Arabidopsis thaliana: one gene and its partners. The protein of the gene in region 2 interacts with the protein of the main gene of each other region in a pairwise test. Each region holds a gene or a part of one and is shown on either strand. Other genes may lie near its edges. The genes, in order: ABF4, DREB2C, ABF3 and SRO1.

What was found.
Region 1: the proteins of DREB2C (region 2) and ABF4 interact in a two-hybrid assay, tested with the Arabidopsis thaliana proteins (one study listed by BioGRID).
Region 3: the proteins of DREB2C (region 2) and ABF3 interact in a two-hybrid assay, tested with the Arabidopsis thaliana proteins (one study listed by BioGRID).
Region 4: the proteins of DREB2C (region 2) and SRO1 interact in a two-hybrid assay, tested with the Arabidopsis thaliana proteins (one study listed by BioGRID).

What each region holds. Positions count from the first base shown.
Region 1 is NC_003074.8:6,685,132-6,690,648, reverse strand, and holds ABF4 (ABRE binding factor 4), read right to left. Parts: upstream 3,608-5,517; 5' UTR 3,413-3,607; exon of another isoform or gene 2,764-3,412; 5' UTR 2,694-2,763; coding exon 1,575-2,693; intron 1,487-1,574; coding exon of another isoform or gene 1,442-1,486; intron 1,388-1,441; coding exon 1,316-1,387; intron 1,221-1,315; coding exon 1,191-1,220; coding exon of another isoform or gene 1,179-1,190; exon of another isoform or gene 943-1,178; coding exon 865-942; 3' UTR 526-864; downstream 1-525. Other genes in the region: AT3G19300 (Protein kinase superfamily protein), read left to right, coding at 1-407. UniProt on the Arabidopsis thaliana protein: Functions as a transcriptional activator in the ABA-inducible expression of LTI65/RD29B (AC Q04980). Binds specifically to the ABA-responsive element (ABRE) of the LTI65/RD29B (AC Q04980) gene promoter.
Region 2 is NC_003071.7:16,847,842-16,852,208, reverse strand, and holds DREB2C (Integrase-type DNA-binding superfamily protein), read left to right. Parts: upstream 1-1,721; 5' UTR 1,722-1,851; coding exon of another isoform or gene 1,852-1,874; exon of another isoform or gene 1,875-2,355; 5' UTR 2,356-2,358; coding exon 2,359-2,402; exon of another isoform or gene 2,403-2,541; coding exon 2,542-3,544; 3' UTR 3,545-3,820; downstream 3,821-4,367. Other genes in the region: AT2G40350 (Integrase-type DNA-binding superfamily protein), read left to right, coding at 149-614. UniProt on the Arabidopsis thaliana protein: Transcriptional activator that binds specifically to the DNA sequence 5'-[AG]CCGAC-3'. Binding to the C-repeat/DRE element mediates high salinity- and abscisic acid-inducible transcription.
Region 3 is NC_003075.7:16,293,797-16,298,811, reverse strand, and holds ABF3 (abscisic acid responsive elements-binding factor 3), read right to left. Parts: upstream 3,479-5,015; 5' UTR 2,805-3,478; coding exon 1,917-2,804; intron 1,765-1,916; coding exon 1,471-1,764; intron 1,386-1,470; coding exon 1,314-1,385; coding exon of another isoform or gene 1,223-1,313; coding exon 1,193-1,222; intron 922-1,192; coding exon 841-921; 3' UTR 527-840; downstream 1-526. Other genes in the region: DJ1C (Class I glutamine amidotransferase-like superfamily protein), read left to right, coding at 44-259. UniProt on the Arabidopsis thaliana protein: Binds to the ABA-responsive element (ABRE). Mediates stress-responsive ABA signaling.
Region 4 is NC_003071.7:14,916,142-14,922,215, reverse strand, and holds SRO1 (uncharacterized protein), read left to right. Parts: upstream 1-1,733; 5' UTR 1,734-2,042; intron 2,043-2,380; 5' UTR 2,381-2,483; exon of another isoform or gene 2,484-2,623; intron 2,624-2,907; 5' UTR 2,908-3,017; coding exon 3,018-4,123; intron 4,124-4,248; coding exon 4,249-4,493; coding exon of another isoform or gene 4,494-4,522; exon of another isoform or gene 4,523-4,783; coding exon 4,784-4,863; intron 4,864-4,964; coding exon 4,965-5,132; intron 5,133-5,210; coding exon 5,211-5,318; 3' UTR 5,319-5,526; downstream 5,527-6,074. Other genes in the region: DAD2 (Defender against death (DAD family) protein), read right to left, coding at 1-27, 405-452, 546-629. UniProt on the Arabidopsis thaliana protein: Probable inactive ADP-ribosyltransferase that functions with RCD1 to regulate oxidative stress, hormonal and developmental responses. May regulate some stress-responsive genes. Seems to play a smaller developmental role than R.

The DNA of each region.
Region 1 (5,517 bases), on a different chromosome or scaffold from region 2:
TTGATGAAGGTAGGAACCTGGTAGAACTGTCTCAGCCTTTGCTGGTATCAGAATCAAGACGCATAGATCTGGTGGATCCGAGAATCAAAGACTGCATAGATGGAGAACAGCTTGAAACAGTAGTGGCAGTTGTAAGATGGTGCACAGAGAAAGAAGGCGTGGCTAGGCCATCAATCAAGCAAGTTCTGAGGCTGTTGTACGAAAGCTGTGATCCGTTGCATCTCGGGCTTGCAATGGCAGTTGAAGAGAACAAAGGACGGTCACTGAGAGGTGACTCAGGGTTCCAAAGTGGAGACATCCGTGGCTTGGCTTCTTCCTCTAGTACTACTTCAAGGTCGCATTGTAGCCGGAGTTTTCTGCTTGAGACTGGCTCCCCTCACTCTCCACCAAATGGTCTCTCTTTTTGAGTGAGCAGAGACAAATTAGTCACATTTTTTCTAGAAATTTGTCACTTAGGATCATCCTAACTGTTTTCTAATTGCAGTTTTGAAAGATGACATATGTTTTCCAACCAGAGTCAAGAATGATTTCGTTGCCACTCTTAAGTAATAATGGCTAAACCCAAGTTAATGACACAAGAGAACCAAATCCGGAATACAAAGTCAGACATATATATAAACAACTATGTCTTTTAGAAACCCTAACAACCAGAAAGCACAATAAGTCAATAACAGAGGATAATCTAAACCTAAACTAACAAAGGTCAGGGCACAAAATGTCATTTATTCATAATGAAAACTCTCTCCTACTCTGTAACCTAGATCTTTCACTCAATTTCTCTTAATCTCCTGTACAGGTAGCACTATCCTATTACATTAATCCCAAGCTAGGAGTCTGGTTCATCCGTTCTTGTTGCTTCATCCTTCACCATGGTCCGGTTAATGTCCTTCTCAAGCATTGCCTTTTGCTGCCCCACGGTCGCTTCGACGTTTCTTTCAGCTGCTAATTTTGAAAAGAATACTAGTGAACAACACAATCAAAAAGGCTATTCAAAACGAAGCAAGACCACGAAATGTTCGAAAGCTATCTCAGGTTTGAGCTTCAGTTGGGGACATACTTGATAAGGACCAACATACACTATCAGAGCTACAACTTAAGTTTAGTCTTTTGCTGCTGATGTTGGTCCTAATCAAGTATGGTCAAGGGTTTCAGAATGAACTCAATGAAAAGAAAAGTTCTTAAACAATTACCTCATTCTTCTGCATTTCCACCATTTCAGCCTGCAATACAGGGGAAGCTAGGATCAGAGCCAAGTTCTAAAAGTCTGATAGGGGAAAACAGAAAACACACAGAGAGGTTGTAAACAGAAAGAAACCTGTTTTTTCTGCAGTTCTTGATTCGTTTTCTTGAGCTTTTCAATTTCGGCTTCCAGTTCCAATGTATAAGCCTGTAATTAGTGGATAGTTAAAAAACATGGAAGATAAAGCATCTTTCATAATACAAGAAGTGGTTCGGGATAGAAGATATCTTTGCTGGTTTTATGTTTCTGTTTAATGCAGTCTTGCAAAATATAAGACCATAATAGTCAAACCAAACAAAAGGGACTAGATAAGTTTAGTTAGATTTATATTCACCTGCTTTCGAGCTCTTGATCTAGCAGCTGATTCCCGATTCTTGATCATTCTCCTTTGCCTCCTCTCGATAACCTTCTCTAGACCTGTATTGCTTCTTCGTCCTCGATTAAGCACATACGGAACTGGTGATAAAGAATTATTTTCTGCGCTGCTTGTTCCTGGAGAAGTTGCTGCAACAGTGACCCCGGTTCCTCCGTAACTAGCTAATCCATTATTATTGTTGATAGAATTATTTGCAGCCCCAGCAAAACCCTTGTTGGTTATATTCACAGGCGCAGAAAATGCTACGTTTGCTTGTTTAGGAAAAATGGTTTGAGGCAGCCGCTGCTGTGGATGAGGCTGATTCAGCTGCTGCATCTGCTGTTGTTGCTGCTGAAGCAACTGCTGTTGTTGTTGTTGCTGCTGCATTGTTCCACCCATTTTGAGCCCTAAACCAGGTGGCTGATTCAAGATCATAGAATCATTAGTACCATTGAATGTTATGCTGTTTTGATTTGGCTGACCAAATCCAAAACCTAAGCCGCCAGCAGCAGTGCTGTTACCATAAAACCCATTGTTATTGTTTCCGTTGACCTGACCCATCTGTTGAACACAGTTATCTTCTCTTACAACCCCAGCACGGAACAGAAATTCTTCAAGTGTCATTTCCCCTAAAGTCTGTTGCCTTCCAGGAGGCACATTCGACTCACCACCGCCTCCGCTGCTACCTTCCATATTACCATCCTTGGTGATCAAACATTTCCACACCTCATCAACAGTCTTCTGACTAATTGTTCTAGGCAACGTCAACGAACCTTGCCTCTGGAGATTCCCACCTGGGGGTGGGATACCAGCACCAGGTTGCGCTACCGCTGTAGCAGCTGGCGCAGAAGTCATGGCCATGGCCTGAGCTTCCTCAGCAGTCCATATGCTCTTCAGGAGTTCATCCATGTTCATCGACCCGAAATCTTTTCCCGGTCCACCTAGTGTGTTCTGTAACTCATCAAAGGTAAGGGAGTAGACCGAGGACTGCCTAGCCAAGGGCATGACACTACCCGTTGGCTTCATCTGGTTACTACTCCCTTCCCCTCCAGGATGACCACCACCTCCTAAGTTGTTGAAATTGATGTGAGTTCCCATAATCCTTGTATACACTCCTTCTACTTCTTTTTCAATGAAAACAAAGCATCCAAGCCCTAAAACCCTTGTTCTAAAATCAAAGTAAAGCAGTTAGAGTGTATATTACATAATGCTAAGAATCCATGAAAAAGAGAACTTCCGAGGAAAATAAAAAGGAGTGAACTATGTGTCACTAATGCATGTTCACATCCATATAAGAGAAAGAATACTAAAGTGAAACTGGACAAACCACATAAATGCGTGCGAACAAATGTAAAAGCACAGTAAAGTCAATCAATAAAGGTCAGATCTTTGGATAATGTTTATAAAAAAACGTAATTTGATGACTTTTTTTGATGGAAAACGAATTCACACCAGATACAGAGTTTACTCATAAAACCAAAAACGAGAAAATCAGCAAAACCCAACAAGCATGAGAAGGATCTATTCCAGATTCCACAACCCATTTCTCTTAAAAAAAACCCGATCGAATCAAATAGACAAAACCCTAATAGCAACAAGAATCAAATCGATAAATTTATAACAAATATCTCGTAAAAATTCTCTCTTTAACTCTAATTTGATAACCAAAAGTTACTTCAGTTACAACATGTACATCATCATGATTCATAAACGAAACAGAGGAAAGACAACAAAAAAATTGGATGATCCGACAAAGACAGATCCAGAAGTCAGAAAACGGATAATAAAAGAGAAAGGAGCTCGAAAATATGTTTTACCAAATTAATTTCTTCAAAACAAGATTCGTGACTGCGAAAACTCCAGAGAAGCTACAGGGAGAGACGACAAGTGTGTTGCTGCCGCCTCGACACGAGCAGCCATTTTAAGGCCCTGAAACCTTTTTTTTTGTTCTTCAGATATTATTTTTTTGTGAATAATTATCTGTTAACAGTATTAATTTAAAAAGAAACGTGGACGAATGAGAAAAAAGAGTTTAATGTTTTAAGTGCTTGTAAAGACTTACATCCAATTAAGAATGCGACGTGGTAAAACATTGGCCGTTTGTTTCCGACAGTGAAGATTCGAGTGGTTGGAGATCGTGCTTGGAATTGTTTTCTCATTGGAGTTAAATCATAATAATGATTATTCTTTGTTTTTAGGTCAATTTTTTAAAAATATATTACTTCTTATGTTCTTTTAGTTTTCTTATTTTAGATGTATATCAAAAATTCAAATTGATCTTCAAATTGACATATGCCACAATTGTAATCTTCAACAATATTGTGATATATTATAAAATCTTTAATTTGTAAAAAAAAAGAAATCAAAATCTAGATTTGTCTCTTTCCAAAATGGTTGACGATAAGGATGATTCATTTTTCAACATCCAAACCAATTTCATACATAGATAAGACTAAATATAATTATATACATGTCCATATTAGCCAAGAAATACTACCTATATAAAAAAAAATCTTTATTGGTAACTTTTTTTTTTCAATTATGACATAGATCATAGATATTTGTTTGTCATTTTTACAGTTCAAAAGCCTTTTAATCATTTGATATCATCAGTATTGTTTAGACACTAAATAGATTGAATATATAACAAAAACTATAAACTAGATGTTATAAAAAAAAAGTAGGAAAAAAAGCAAATAAGCAAACATTGTAATAATACCAAATGAGGAATGAAACCAAATTTCTGTATTTGGAAGTAATGATCTTAGACTCCACGCGACAGTGTTCTTTACTCCTACCAAAAAAAAAGAAAAAACTATAAACTATGAATAAAATATGACCAAAACATGTAGTTAATTGGGTTGTGCTATTTTTATCATTATGTTATCACCCGAAATTTGAATATATGTTATGGTTGTGTGACTTTTATGTTAAAAGTGTTCCCTCATCAGATAGAAGAAGTGGTGGTGCTTGCTTTCTTTTTGGGAGCCCATTTTGGTTGCAAGCCAATAAGAATATCACACCGCTCTTCGAAACAAAACAATAAAGAACACAGTCGCGTGGAGTCTAAGATCATTACTTCCAAATACAGAAATATGTTTTCATTCCTCTTTTGGTATTATTGCAATGTTTGCTTATTTGCTTTTTGTTTTTCTATTTTATATTCAAAGAAATATCCACTTTTGCCACGTTAGGCCGACGTATAGAGTGAGCATAAAACCATAATAGATCCCATATATGACTATGAGTTTATGTAATCATCACTTATATGTATATTTATACACGTACACACGATTGTCATTTAGGTTTAATTTCAACCTTGATGCTACAGAGTTCGACCAAGATTCAAGGGACGACTATGGAGATGTAGTTGTATTTGCTAATTCATAATTAGGCTTTGTTTCCTTTTTATCAAAAAAAAACTAATCTAAAAAGACTCGAGTGATGTGAGAAGTAGAGTTCATCTCCATCAACGCTTGACCTCTTTTTACAAATCCATACAAATCACCAAGACTATAGTAAACTATAAATATCAATGGAGCAATATTTTTTTAGCAAAAAGTAAGATTCAAACATAAAATAGAGAATAGAAAAAATGTTTAATAATTGTCCTAATTAACTAATAGATTTGTAGTCATTCTATTTTTTTATGATTGAGATCTTAGTTTGTATTAATATTTCAGATCCCAAATGATCGCATGTGGTTGTGCTTGTATATATTCAATGATTGAAGGGTTGGTGAGGGCATTTGTGACTAGGGCCTCTAGCCACAAAATATAATCAAGAAAATGTGTTAAAAAAGGACGAATCGTTGAAGCATCAACATTTGTTTTGTTAAGATTATTTGTTGTTGTTTTTATCTATAATTATTTTTTCTTGTTACAGGGTATTCTACTAAAATGCAAAGAGATTACATGGCTAT
Region 2 (4,367 bases):
GTGATGCTTAAAAATTGTTTCTTTGAAGGTGCTTTGATCCCAAGTATAGTTGAACATGTTGCTTTAAATCTTGTTAAGAGAAAAAATGGGACTTGCTTCTGTGCCCAATAGTTCACGAGCATGTTGCTAATCTTGCTTCTATGCCCAGGAAACGGAAGTCTCGTGGAACACGAGATGTAGCTGAGATTCTAAGGAAATGGAGAGAGTACAATGAGCAGACCGAGGCAGATTCTTGCATCGATGGTGGTGGTTCAAAACCAATCCGAAAGGCTCCTCCAAAACGTTCGAGGAAGGGTTGTATGAAAGGTAAAGGTGGACCTGAAAATGGGATTTGTGACTATACAGGAGTTAGACAGAGGACATGGGGTAAATGGGTTGCTGAGATCCGTGAGCCAGGCCGAGGTGCTAAGTTATGGCTCGGTACTTTCTCTAGTTCATATGAAGCTGCATTGGCTTATGATGAGGCTTCCAAAGCTATTTACGGTCAGTCTGCCCGACTCAATCTTCCACTGCTGCCACTGTGTCAGGCTCGGTTACTGCATTTTCTGATGAATCTGAAGTTTGTGCACGTGAGGATACAAATGCAAGATCTGGTTTTGGTCAGGTCAGACTAGAGGATTGTATTGATGAATATGTTCTCCTAGATAGTTCTAGTGTATTGTTAATCGTAGTTGACTATTGTGAGGTCTTAAGTTGTAGATTGAAAATGAGATAGCTCATATGGAGCTTTATTGAAATGCAAGAAAGTAAACAAAGGAAGATCTTTAGATTGTCACCAAGAGTGGTCTGAAACTCTCATAACACTCAATCCTCCTCCTCCTCATCACCACCACTACAAAATATTATATTCTCTATCTCTCAATCTATGAGGAGATGTATTCTATCAAGCATTTGAAATGATAAGAAACTGGCGATCATCCTCTACGTCACCATCACTCCAAAATTATCCTCTTTCTAGGTTTAAGTTTTGTAATGATCGCCTTTATTTGTTGAGATCTCTAACTTCTCGCATTTCCAAAATGTTAAGTCCAATAACTGCATTGGTTAAGTTGGGGCGTTACTAGTCGGCTTAAATCCAAATATGGATTTGATTCCATATGTATGTGACAGTTTCTTAACGTTCATATTACAATGAATGATGGATCCTTGACTAGACAAAGAGAAAATGGATTGTCACTTCGTAGGAAAAATAGAAATTCTCCACGAAGGCTGGTCTCCTTTATTTAACGACAAATTCACTCATAGTCTCATTCACAATTTGAACTTGTCTAACACAATGTGTTATATACTCGCGAAAAGAAGCATAATAGGCTCTTAAGGGTAATCCACGAAACCAAAACACATATAAAACATTAATATTTTTCTCTAAATTTATTCATATCAATAATAAAGTTTACAAAAAATATAAAACAATAATCCATACTTAGCCCATAGCTTCGTGTGGAAGAAGACTTGATTTTTGACTAGTCAACGAAAATGAGTAAATGACGTATTCAGCTATAGTAAAAGGGATCATAAGCGGAAATTACAAAGAAGCTTTGAGGGTAAAATAGTCAAAAAGCATAATCAGAAATAACTTAGGCCCAAAGCAAAAAGGAAAGGACTCTGGATCCAGCCGCAAATCAGAATCTGGTAAGTTCGAACGCCACGTCATCACCTAAATATCTGAAATATCTAATTAAGACTTGTCTATATATAAAGGCTTCTCCTTTCACAATCCCAAACCTTTCTCTTCTCTGCTAACGAGAAAACAAAAGCTATCGTCTTTGCTACTACTACTACTACTATTATTACATTGAATCCTTTGTGTTCTTCTTCTTCAGCTGCTACTTTGTTCGAGTGCTTTCTTACATGCCGTCGGAGATTGTTGACAGGTTTGTTTGTTACATTTTTCGATTTTTCTCCGTTTTTTTTCCTCTCTTCTGTATGTTTGCTAAATGTGATTGTTCATTGTTAGGGTTTAAGATTTTCTTTTTATCGATTTTTGTTGTTTTGTGTGTATATCCTCCAAGTTCCTTTGTTTGTGTAATAGGTGGAAGCTGAAAGGTTTTTCAATTTTAGGGTTTTTGGGGTTTTTTGTTGACTGAAATTTGTTAATTTGGGGCACAATTTGTCTCTTTTGGATTGAGTTCTGTGCGATTTGTGGATTCTAGTTCGTGTGTGGTTAAGAGACTTGGAAATTAGAGGATTTTTAGCTAAAATAATCGTTAAAGGTGGTACCTTTCCTGATACAGAAGTTAGATTATGGATTCTATGTTGAATCTTTAGGTGATTCTCTGTTTCTGAGTTTGCTCTGTTCTAGTTTCTTAATCTGTTCGTGATGGAGTTTCTTTCTTGCTCGCTGTGATGCTGCAGATTATGAAAACTTCTTCTTGTAGCTACTTCGGTGTAATTACGTTCAGGTGGTTAAAAATTGTTTCTTTGAAAGGTGCTTTGATCCGAAGTATAGTTGAACCTGTTGCTTGAAATTTTGTGAAGAGAGAAAATTGGAGTTCTCGAGCATGTTGCTAATCTTGCTTCTATCCCCTTTGATTCTACCAGGAAAAGGAAGTCTCGTGGAACACGAGATGTAGCTGAGATTCTAAGGCAATGGAGAGAGTACAATGAGCAGATTGAGGCAGAATCTTGTATCGATGGTGGTGGTCCAAAATCAATCCGAAAGCCTCCTCCAAAAGGTTCGAGGAAGGGTTGTATGAAAGGTAAAGGTGGACCTGAAAACGGGATTTGTGACTATAGAGGAGTTAGACAGAGGAGATGGGGTAAATGGGTTGCTGAGATCCGTGAGCCAGACGGAGGTGCTAGGTTGTGGCTCGGTACTTTCTCCAGTTCATATGAAGCTGCATTGGCTTATGACGAGGCGGCCAAAGCTATATATGGTCAGTCTGCCAGACTCAATCTTCCCGAGATCACAAATCGCTCTTCTTCGACTGCTGCCACTGCCACTGTGTCAGGCTCGGTTACTGCATTTTCTGATGAATCTGAAGTTTGTGCACGTGAGGATACAAATGCAAGTTCAGGTTTTGGTCAGGTGAAACTAGAGGATTGTAGCGATGAATATGTTCTCTTAGATAGTTCTCAGTGTATTAAAGAGGAGCTGAAAGGAAAAGAGGAAGTGAGGGAAGAACATAACTTGGCTGTTGGTTTTGGAATTGGACAGGACTCGAAAAGGGAGACTTTGGATGCTTGGTTGATGGGAAATGGCAATGAACAAGAACCATTGGAGTTTGGTGTGGATGAAACGTTTGATATTAATGAGCTATTGGGTATATTAAACGACAACAATGTGTCTGGTCAAGAGACAATGCAGTATCAAGTGGATAGACACCCAAATTTCAGTTACCAAACGCAGTTTCCAAATTCTAACTTGCTCGGGAGCCTCAACCCTATGGAGATTGCTCAACCAGGAGTTGATTATGGATGTCCTTATGTGCAGCCCAGTGATATGGAGAACTATGGTATTGATTTAGACCATCGCAGGTTCAATGATCTTGACATACAGGACTTGGATTTTGGAGGAGACAAAGATGTTCATGGATCTACATAAGATTTCAAATTTCGTTTGACTGGCCTAAGTTTGTGATTCTGCTCCGAGACGGTGTAGCTGTTACTAGCTAGAAGCTGCCCTTCTTTGAAGCTACTGATACTTTCTGATATTAATGGTTGTGAGACGTAGTACATGTAGTTAGGTAATGTAGGACAAGTTCAAATATGATTCCTTCTTTCTTTTTCTTGTGAATACATATGACATATGAAGAAGTTCAAACGTTGGGTTTAGAAAAAGTTTATAACATTCGGTACATATCAAAGTTTTGAACTTCGGATGCATATAAGCTATAAAGTTTTGATCTTTGAACTTTGGATACTCTCACATCTAATTTTCATCCTTAAGAATGGAGATGGAATAATGCGATGTTGCGTAGTGGTTTTATTGACTTGGCAAGTTTTGATTATTCAAGAAACTTGGCTTAGTTTAATGGAAATATCCAGTAGTGGAGTTTTTTGGTCTGCAGACTTTCCTCAGGTTGTCTGAGATTACATAAGCAATGAGGTATGAATAATAAAGTTATCATTAGAGAGTTATCTATCTGTATTTTCTACAAAAGGCAAATTGGGTATTTGAAAGTGCAAATGGGACATAGTTGTATATTATTTAAAAGGCTTTAACTATTCCATTCTGGTCTCCAAAATCGTTTTTCTTGCTCGAATCTTGAAGATCTTCTAAGCCTTTAGAAAAATGAAGAAATCAAGTTGGCAAACTGTTAATTAATTAAATCCAATGAATTGGTGGGTATTGCACCTCCACAAGTTCCCTTTGACAATGTGTCCTCTTCTCCGCAAGAATGAGATGCAACTATTTTGGACAATTT
Region 3 (5,015 bases), on a different chromosome or scaffold from region 2:
TATACATGGACAAACGCCATAAACAATTGGAATCCTATTTTAGGAGAAGAGAACGACTGTGTATCCTTCAGAGTCAGACGAGCCTATGAATCAACAAATGATCGAAGGAGCCGAAGTTGTTATAGATGGAAACGTGATTACAAGTTTGGGGCTCGCAACTGTTACCAAATTTTCCCTGGCTATTGTTAGCAAGCTGTTCGGACATGCTAGAGCAAGGAGTGTTTCAGAAGGGCTTGTGCATGAGTATCCAAGGCAGTAACCGTTTGAAAGCATCTTGTTCAAGAAACACAGTTAGAAGATGTCTCATTACTGATCTTAAACCGAAGTATAACGGTCCGATGGTATCAAACCACCTCAACTCCAGAGACTTTTCACAAGTATCATCTGTTCAACGTTGATGCACCTTATCCTGAAGCGGGATGCTATCTGCAAGAATTTTGCCAATTTAGTATGTGTATCTAATTTTGTACGCCCAGTTGGATTACCAGATGTTGATGCTAAACTTGATGTTTACTCTCTTCTATAATAAAGGTGTTGACTTGGGCCCAAATGAGCTAAAGAAAAAATTGCAGACAAGATACAAGATAAATTCACTCTGGTTAAGTCACAAAGATGTTCAAGACAAATGATAAAGATCCATTACATCAGGAAGATAAAACCAAAAGATTTAGGAAAATAGAACAGATATGTGTTTATCTATCTCTGTCAAATCCGCCACACTTCAAGATTTACAATCACCCACAGAACCTGCCTAAACTACGTACAAAGCTAGCTTTCTATCTTCTGAGTTGTTCTATAACTTCGGCGCTTTGTTGGGTTCCTTAGACGCCATTATAAGCTCTACCAGGGACCCGTCAATGTCCTTCGCAAGCATTGCCTTTTGCATCCCATTCCCCATGGCTGGCGCAGAGGCTCCAGAAGCTGCAACAACAAATGAGCCAACTTCCGTTAAATCCATGCTCGTCAGATTAGTCTCATGAAATATCCAAATTGGCATTGCAACATATTCACAAATCTTAAATACTTTATGCAGAGTGGGAAATCAAAAATGTGATGATATGTCTCACTTCATGGTATAGCTTACACTATTCTACTCAAAAGCTTAGAATACTGTCCAAAAGTGTAATTCATTATGAGTGAGAGTTAAAAGCCTAGCCAACAACCATAGAGGATATTCAAATCAAGACAGTACCTGATTTTTCTGCTTTTCCATGATTTCAACCTGCATGAAACATTTGGTCAGTGAATACAACCTCAAGAAAATATGAAAATCTCGAGATTCTTAATTGTGATAGGGAAGAAGCGAGACACACTTGTTTCTTCTGCAACTCTTCATTCAATTCTTTGAGTTGCGCAATTTCTGCTTCCAGTTCCATCGTATAAGCCTGTCAAGCAAGAAAGTGAAAAAGTAAATAACATGGTCACAGTTTTAAGGTTTCTTTAATCTCCAAAATTTAAACAAACACTCACTTGCTTGCGAGCGCGGGATCTTGCAGCTGATTCCCTATTCTTTATCATCCTTTTTTGCCTTCTCTCAATCACTTTCTCCAGAACTGCACCTGTTTTTCTCACTCGCCCAAACATGTAAGGAACAGGGGACAAAGATGCATCCAGGGCGCTCTTTGGAGTCAGATCAGGTGACATCTGGCTTCCAGGAGATACTGCTGCAACCGTTACTCCTGTTTTAAAATCGACAGCTTGCAGTAGATTGTTGTTCATAGGATGGTTATGAATTCCAAGTATTGAAGGCTTCACTTCCTGGCACTGCGAAAAAAGTAAAAACAAGTCATGCTCAGATAACTGAAACATACATGCATATCCAAAACCAGCTTATCTTAAAACATGAAGGCTACGTCTAATATTTTTCAGATGATTGTATTTCCTACAAAATGTAGTAGCTTAGGTTCTTTAGTCACCTGTGTTGCAGGTTGAGAACGGTTAACCACATCAACAGTGTTGGAAAATGCTATAGTGGTCTGTTTGGGAAAAGGCCTCTCCTGCGTCTGTATCAGTTGTTGCGGCTGCTGCACCATCTGTGGCTGCTGCACCATCTGTGGCTGCTGCATCTGTAGTGGCTGAGTTTGAGCAGTCAGCAGATCCTGTCTCACCGCTACTCCATTTCCTGACAAATCTTGAGGTTGGTTTGCAACAAACCCATTACTAGCTGTCCCAAGACCTCCATTACTGCCAAATCCATAGAATCCGCCATTGAAGTTAGTTACACTCTCCACCGGTTGAGGTTCTTCCCTAACCACACCAGCCCTGACCAAAAACTCCTCCAAAGTCATCTCTCCCAGCGTTTGTTGCCTCTGCGGAATTCCGCTTGTCCCACCATTAACAACACCATTTCCAATGTCATCCTCCTTCATCAGCTCCTTCCAGACATCATCAACCCTTTTCTGACTAATCGTCCGAGGCAAGGTAAGTGAACCTTGTCTCTGCAAACTCCCACCAGTGAAAAAACCACCACTTTCTCCTCCCACACCAACAGCTAACCCACCAATGTTGTTACCACCGCCGTTAATAACAGTGTTTCCACTATTACCATTGCTGATGTTGGTGTAACTGGTATTGTTTCCCATCATTGAATGACTTTCCTCTGCAGTCCAAATGTTCTTCAAGAGCTCATCCATGTTCATAGACCCAAAATCTTTCCCAATTCCACCACCCCATGAGTTCTGAAACTCATCAAAGGTTAACGAGAACACAGAGTTCTGCCTAGTCAATGGAAGACTAGTCCCCACCGTTGGCTGCTGCTCACTCACACCATCAACAAAGCTCTTGAAGTTTAATCTAGACCCCATTACTCAAGCTTTCGTACAACTAGGAGGATCAAGCTTCTGGATATTTACCTATAAGAAAACAAACAAGCAGAGAGATTATGGTTTAATTATACATACATCCATAAATTCATCAACAAACGAAGAATCTAAAAAAGCACTGATCTTTATCCAGTTTTAAAGTACCAAAATTTAAGAACCAAATCCAAAGCCGTGAGACAAAATCAGATTTTTATCAGTTCCAAAGCTAAACCCAAACAAAAGATCTAAATGAAATATAAGCACAATGAAGTCAAACAGAGCAAATGGTGAAAATGGAAAGGAATCTCCTTTTAATCAGTAAACAAATCTCCAAAACACCCAATCATATGCTTATTATTCAGCGGGAAAAAAAAATCATGATTCTCTTCGAATCAGTGAATCTGAACAAGAAAACCAATCAGTAATAGACAACAAAAATCGATTCATCAAACCAAAAAAAAAAAGAAAGAAAAAAAATGAAGCAGCTCAGTCACACAAACTAACAAAAAAAAAAAGGAAGTTTTTTGTTAATTTTCCTGACCTTCGAATTTATTTTTTTTCTTTGGAAATGGAAAATCAATAATTCCTCTTTGAGAAATAAAAGATACCTGAAAGGGGTCAGAGCGAGAGAGATGGACAAGTGTCCATGGCGTGACACTCGTCGTGATATAAAAGGGTTGGTTTCTTTTGTTTGGATGCGACTATTATTTTATTCTCGATAAGGTTATTATAGTATTATGCCAATTTGACGTCAGATCGTGCGTGAGCCGTAGAGATTGGGCAACGTGGTCCAATTAGAAACGCCGCTTTTTCTTTAAATCATTATCGATACATTTGCGTTTCCCACCAATAAAATTTCGCAAAGTGGAAGCATTTTTGGCCGTTTGATTTCCTAAACGGCGTCGTCGTTTACGAGACCAAGTACTACTACTAGTACTACATCTTGGAACAAATTATCAAAATATTCTTATAACTTTTTTTTAAGGATAGATAACCAATAAAAATTAAAATTGATGCATTCATTAGCAGTATAGTAATGAATACGAGATTCGTTGATCCGTTATTTGAGTAACAATCTAACGTAGTGTTCACTAACACTTACTTAGCTACCTAATAAAATAGGGATCACACTTTCATTTCTTGTAAGTTGATGCACCTATTTGATCGAATGGTATGAAAATTTGGTTGGAAACAAAATAACCAACGTTATTCCATTCAAGGGAGCGCATTATGGAAAAAAAATTATGATACGATAAGATTTGTAAGAAAAAATAAGAAACAAATGGAAGAAGGGAATGGGTGAACAGTCCGGAATCTTTATCACGTTTGCTGCACCTACAAAGGGATGGTCATTTGCCACGTGGCGCACTCAATGCCTGCCCTCTTAACAATATTTAAAAAAGTTGAAATGAAGCAAACATACAATAAAATTATGATCTTGTGTGTTGATCTTCACATGGTGATTGTGATCTTGTCTTCAACTTCTTTATTTTATTACACCATTATTGAGACTTCTTTACATTTGGACTCGGTACAATACAAGTGACCCTTCGTGTCTCCCATCTTTTATTTCTATTTTCAATCTTTTTATATTATTTTTTCTTTAAGAATCTACTGGATTAGGAAAGTCTACTCTGCAATACATACTAGTATTAAACAAATATGGAACCGTGATTTTGTTTAATGTTATCATATAGAATTCACATGGGACTCGACGACTCTTTTGAGACGTGCTCTTTCCCGAATTAGATTTAATTAATTGAAGTTACTTCTTTAAGGTCGTGTAGAAACAAAATGTATAAATTATAACCACCTTTCAAGAATCCAAAACTCAAAACCAACGAAAGTACGAAACTATAACAACCGGAAGAAACAACACACAACCGAAATGCTAAAACGTTGTTAACAAAAACAAGTTTAATGTGTAACTTTTTTTCAGCTAGGCTAAAATCCTAGAAGGTTAAAAGATATATAACCTTTTTTTAACAAAAAAGAGAGAGTTTAATATGTAAGTTGCAACAACAGGGTAAGTTTGAAGAAATTTACTTTTTCTTAATTCCATGGTAAGATAATAACAAAATTACAAAATAATTCTTACAATAACAAAATTAGATCAAAAACCTAAACCACAATAAAGAAAAAGAATGAAACCTTAGTGTCATGCCCATATATATTTATTACTTTCTATGTGTCTAGAAGACCTAAAGTTGTTAA
Region 4 (6,074 bases), 1.9 Mb from region 2:
TCCAACAAGAGCCATGTAAGCAACCTGCTCAATCACAGAAATTAAACACACTAAAACTAAGTAACCAGGTTCTTTAATACACAGAGAATTCAACACTGTTTATCAAGAAATTCTGTAGAATTTAACATGAGTCAAGAATTAAGCAACAAGAGTTTCTTTGATATAGTCCTTCAAAAAAACACAGATCAAACATTTCAACGACAAAGTAATGGATGATGCTATACAAATGAACACAAAAATTGCAAATCAAGTATATCAAATTTGAGTGTCTTTCTATTTGAAAATACACATATCAATACATATGAACATAAAAACTCATACATTTGAAATCCCCATATACATAAACGAAACGAAAAGGCACGGATCGAGAGGCACAGTCGAAGCAATAAAGGAGATTAGAGTACCTGAATCAAAGCTGTGAAGACCGCGAAACAAACATAAAGGTCGATGATCTACAAAAACAGAGTTCAAACAAGAACATTCAGCGGATTTTTCAATTTCAATGATGATTCATAAAAGATCAGAACAAAATGATAATGGTGGACCTTGAGATTCGTTGGTGTAGCGGTATAAGCAGAGTGAAGAGAATGGAAGAGATCCTGAGCATCCTTACTAGTCGATTTCACCATTTCTTCAAAGACTGACCAACACAGGCACAGCAAGCAAACTTTTCTCCTGCTTCTTCTTTTTCTCTTCTTCACGAGTCTGGTGCTCTCGCTGAAATGACGTTGTTTCAGGATTTGCTGATTAAAACGGGCTGTCATTGTTTGGGGCCTTTGGGCCCAAGCCTTTTTAAGTCTGAACTTCGAAACGTCGCCGTTTTGTTATGAGATATTTTCTAAATTATGTTTTCCACAGTTTGTAAATGGACTACCACTCGAGCTTGTTCGAAAAATCTTTAGACGTTACTCGAGGGCTCAATATGAATTTGGCGATTAATTTAAAAATCGGAAATAAATATTTAGGGTTATTATAATGTTTTTAAAACATTTTAATCTAATATTGTTTTGAAAATGGTAGTAAACATAAAAATATATTTTTAAGACAACATTTTATGTTTTTAGTTAAAATTTTGTACATAAGTTGCTATAATTTATCATACTCTTAATGTACATGTTTGAATAAAAAAGAAGTTGTTTTATATTTAAAATCTTAAATAATCAAGATATACAAAATTAGGTACGAAATAATCGGATTAGATGGAAGGTAATTAGATAACTGATTTCTTCAAGAGATTAATCATTCAATAAGGCAGGCAGAGTGGATGTAACAATTAAAAACGGAATAATCGGAGATACACTGAAATTTTTAGAATAAACACAACTTTAACAAATTCAAAGAGAACGTTTGTAATTTCCTTGTACAGCGTAAGGAAAGTTTAGATAAAAGATGTATATAATATAATAATTGAATGCATACGTAAGAGATGAGTTTATTTTCAAATTTAACGTAACCGAACAAAATAAGTTTTCTTCTAAATTCCGTAACATATGTCCTAACCACTCAAACTAAAACAAAAATTAAATTTTTTTCTGGTCTGAAGTATTAAAACCACAATCTTGACAAAATTGAAAATTTATTTTTTATGATAACAATTTTATAAATTTATATTATTGGAGCGATATCTGACAAAACTAGTTTAAAACTGAAAAAATGTCTATGTAACTATAATAGAGTAGTTTACAACACATTTATTTACTTGTTTATACTTGATAGTGAAATTGGCCGTGTTTGACCGGGTCAGAATTGATAGGTGACGGTCCAGTTAGAATTGGGCTTTGACGTAAAAAAAAAAAATGTGTAACTTTGTTCTTTGCCTAAACGATTGGCTTTGTGTCCAAGAGTAGACCGCCGACTTAGATTTTTTCGCCGACGAGAGAATATATATAAATGGCTCGTCTTTTTCCAAACGATTTCTTCTTCTTCGTCGTCGCCGGTTTAGGGTTTCCGTTGCTGTAGCAATTTTCTCTCGCTTCTCTCTCCCCTTTTACAGTTTCTCTTATATTGCTCTTGCCTTGCGTCCAATCTCAAGAGTTCATAAGGTTAGTTTAAATTTGTCTTTATTGATATAATCTATGATTCTGTGAATTGGTGTGTTACATTTAGTCGAAATTGTTGTGAATTGTGTTGTTCTTGAGATGTTTTGGTGTCAATTGATGGTTTATTTGCATAATTTTATTAGGGGTTTCGCTGAAAAGCTGAAAAAGATTGCTATTACATAATTTGTTAAGAGTGAAAATGTCTCGTCTAAGCTTCTGTTGTTATGATTCATGTATTCACCTAAACAGAAGAGAGCTTGTCTCGACAGCTTTGATAGCCTGTTGTTATTTGTTGGTCTGTTTCTGTCTTTGAAGGTTAAATTTTTTGGCTTGTCTTACAGAGTTGACATTTGTGAACATCGAAGAAATACGGTGACGTTTCTTCTCTGATTACTTTTTGCCAACATGAATACTAATGTATTTATCAACAAGTGCTACAGCCTGGTAAGTCTCAAGCTTTCCGATGAGTTTACCGTTCTATCTAGTCCGGATTTGTATCTGCAGTTTTGCTTCTTTGTTCTGTCATGTTTGTTATAAGATCTTGCCTTCTGAGTAGCTGAACCTCTTTTTTCATCCTTGTGTAGGTTAGTTGTCACTTCTTTCCTTTCTTGTAATCTTTCTTATATTGTTTTTCCTATGATTTGTAAAGGGATTTTACTGGTATCGATTCGACAGTGTTGTTTCAATTGAAACATGATGCTTTGTAGGAAAACTCATGAATAACTGTTCATATAGTTGCTTTCTGTTGGTGTTTATAGCAGTGTCTTTTTGTTAAGTAGGTTATTGCATGATGAGAGTCTTTTCATTTTTATTTTATATACAGTCACTGCACTTTTTTCATATCTGATGCACACCTTTCTTCTTGCAGTTTTTTTCGAAGCTGTTGGTGAGTTCCCATCCTTAGTACTGCTAGACAGTTCGGTGTGTTAGTTGACTTTATATTCAAGGTTATAGGTTTAGTGTTGTTAGTAGAGAAAAATGGAAGCCAAAATCGTCAAGGTATCGGATAGTAGTTATAAAGATGGTCTTGGGAAGAAGAGAAAGCATCCAGGGAACTATACTCCTTATGATTCTGGAAGGTCATATGCAAAGCTGCAATGGGTGCTTTCACCCAACAGTTCCACCCAGAAGCTTGAGAAAAGGAGAAATTTGGATGGTGAAAACAAAGTTATTGTTTCTGAGAATCATGTTGAGAAGTCTTTGGTCAGATACTTCTCTTATTATAAGAAGACAGGAGTGCCAAAACGTGTAATGTTCCATGAGAATGGTGAATGGATTGATTTGCCTGATCATATTCTATGCGACATCAGGAATGATCTTGAAGCAAAGAGAGCTACAATTGAGTTCAATTGGTGCGGTCGCCATTTTCTCCTGGATTTCTTGCACATGTATCGACTAGACTTGGAAACAGGTGTAAAAACCCAGCTTGCTTGGATTGATATTGCTGGCAAATGCTTTTTCCCTGAAACTTTTGACACCCTCGAAAGGGACGGCTGCCATCATATCCGTGGGGAAGATCCGGAACAACATGATCAACGTGAGATCAAGCTGCACATTGAAATTGATGTAAATAGTGGGGAGTTACCGAGGCTGAATTTGAATGTGGTCACTGACGAGTCTGGTGACAATATGGATGATTTTCAAGCTGTTCAGAGATCCTCAAATGGGCCAAATGACGAGGCATCAGAGGATAGCTGCAGCCGTGAGCTTGATGATGCTGTTGAGAAATGGGACAAAACAGAAACTGATCGGTTCTCTGGTGTCAAGCCTGCTGAGGAGGAGCTTGATAAAGATGCTGTCAAACAAATGTTTGCTTTGGGTGCTGCCACTCTAGGGCATGTAGAGTCGCTTGATGTGTATCAGTTTTCAAGCGAGATTGCAAAGGCTCGTCTATCTCTTTTCCAGAAGCAAGCTGACATCACTAAGAAACACCGAGGAGATGCAAACATTAGATATGCATGGGTTCCTGCGAAGAAGGAAGTGTTATCTGCCGTGATGATGCATGGACTTGGAGTGGGTGGAGCATTCATTAAAAAGTCTATGTATGGTGTTGGGGTTCACGCTGCAAACTGCCCTTATTTCAGGTTTTTATTCGCCCTCTATGCCAGTTCCTCTCTCATTTAGCCTGCCTTATGCTATTTTTGTTTCACTTTATAGTTCATTTGTTTTATGGTTTTATCTAAGCACATGTGAAAGATATTGTTTACAGTGCTAGATACTGTGATATTGACGATAATGGTGTGCGGCACATGGTTTTGTGCCGCGTAATAATGGGGAATATGGAGCCTCTTCGTGGTGATAACACGCAGTACTTTACTGGTGGAGAAGAGTATGATAATGGGGTTGATGATGTTGAGAGTCCAAAGCATTACCTTATCTGGAACATGAATATGAACACTCACATTTACCCAGAATTTGTAGTTAGCTTCAAGCTGTCTATCCCCAATGCTGAAGGTGATTACCATTTGTTATTTCTCCTGTAATTTCCATAAAAATCAACTGATGACGCATTGAATGGGAGACAGCATATAGATCTTACTGAAGATCAGCTATTTGGATCCTGAAATCTTCCTCTATAAGTTAGAAAAGGATCCACATCACCTTGTGACCTCTGGGGGTGGTAAACATACTTCATCATCCCAAGGGTCCAGTGAGATATCCATGGCTAATATATATGGGTATTTCGATGATCACATTTGTTTTCTGTAGTATTCGAAACGGGATGACATGTTTTGTTTGTGCAGGGAATATTCTTCCTACTACTCAGAGTAGGCACGAGAGTTCGGGACTCACCTTGGAAGGACCCAAAGGTTCTCCCTCAAATGTAAGTTGAATTGTACCTGATCAGATTCTCATTTTCAAGCAGTCATTGTTAATATTTGATATGGACACAAACGAGTAATGTTGCTTGTTTGTATGAAGCAGGAGCCAGGAAGGGTATCAAATGGAGGTTCAGGGAGCGAAAAGAATAGCTCCAGCAGTAGAAGGCCCAGATCTCCTATAATGCCTTTCCCTCTGCTGTTCAAAGCAATCTCGAGCAAAATTGCTCGTAAAGACATGGATTTGATAATTGCTGGTTACCAGGAACTCAGGGTAAATAATATAAACCATGTCTTTTACCAATAGTCAAGGTTATCATATTGTATTAACATAATCGGTGTGCTCTTGCAGGAGAAGAAGGTGTCGAGAAAGGAATTTTATAAGACGCTGAGTATGATTGTAGGAGATGATGATCTGCTGATATCTACAATAACAGGCCTTCAAAGGAGTTTGGGTTAGATTAATGTGTCGACTTCTCTTTGCTGTCGTGAAACCTTAATAGTTTGGATTACGACAAACGTGACTTGATCTTTAGAAACTTAGTAGTAGTACTGTTATATTTACTCTTTTGGTGAAACTAGTCTCCATTATCCTGTTTTTCTTTACTTGGAATCAAAGAGTCTTTTATTGATCAACAGCCTTGGTTCTTTGTGAGGTTTAATTCATCAGCTGGAAGTTATTCAACAGCCTTAGTTTTAAAAAGCGCGCTAATGGCGTGCCATGGCGCATAGCGCACCGATGCTCTAAGAATAGGGCAACAAGACGTGGAGGCGAGGCGACATCTATAATGCGCACGCCATACGTGAGCCTTGGCCGATGCACAAGGTGGCAAAGCGATCGCCTCTTGTGTTCAGGCGAAAACTCTTCGAAACCAACAACAGAATTCTGTGATTTTAGGGTTTGCACGAAGAAATGACTAGGAGGAATAGGATAAACCATTTTCTAAACCTAGCTGGTTAATACATGATTCAATTTAGCTGGTCAATACCTAATCCACGACTAGAAAGTTTAACCATGAGTTATAATTAGCTTATCAAACCAAATCAATCCTAGGTTTATCTTAAACTAAAACGGATTTGACCCTTACCTCTTAACCCACGACATTTTAACCAGTTAGAAGATGTAAAATCCCTAATTTTTCTAAATAGAACACCATAGACGATATAAGCTTGAAGGCTAAAACCATATGCAGAGAATCTGTTAATAGAACACCAC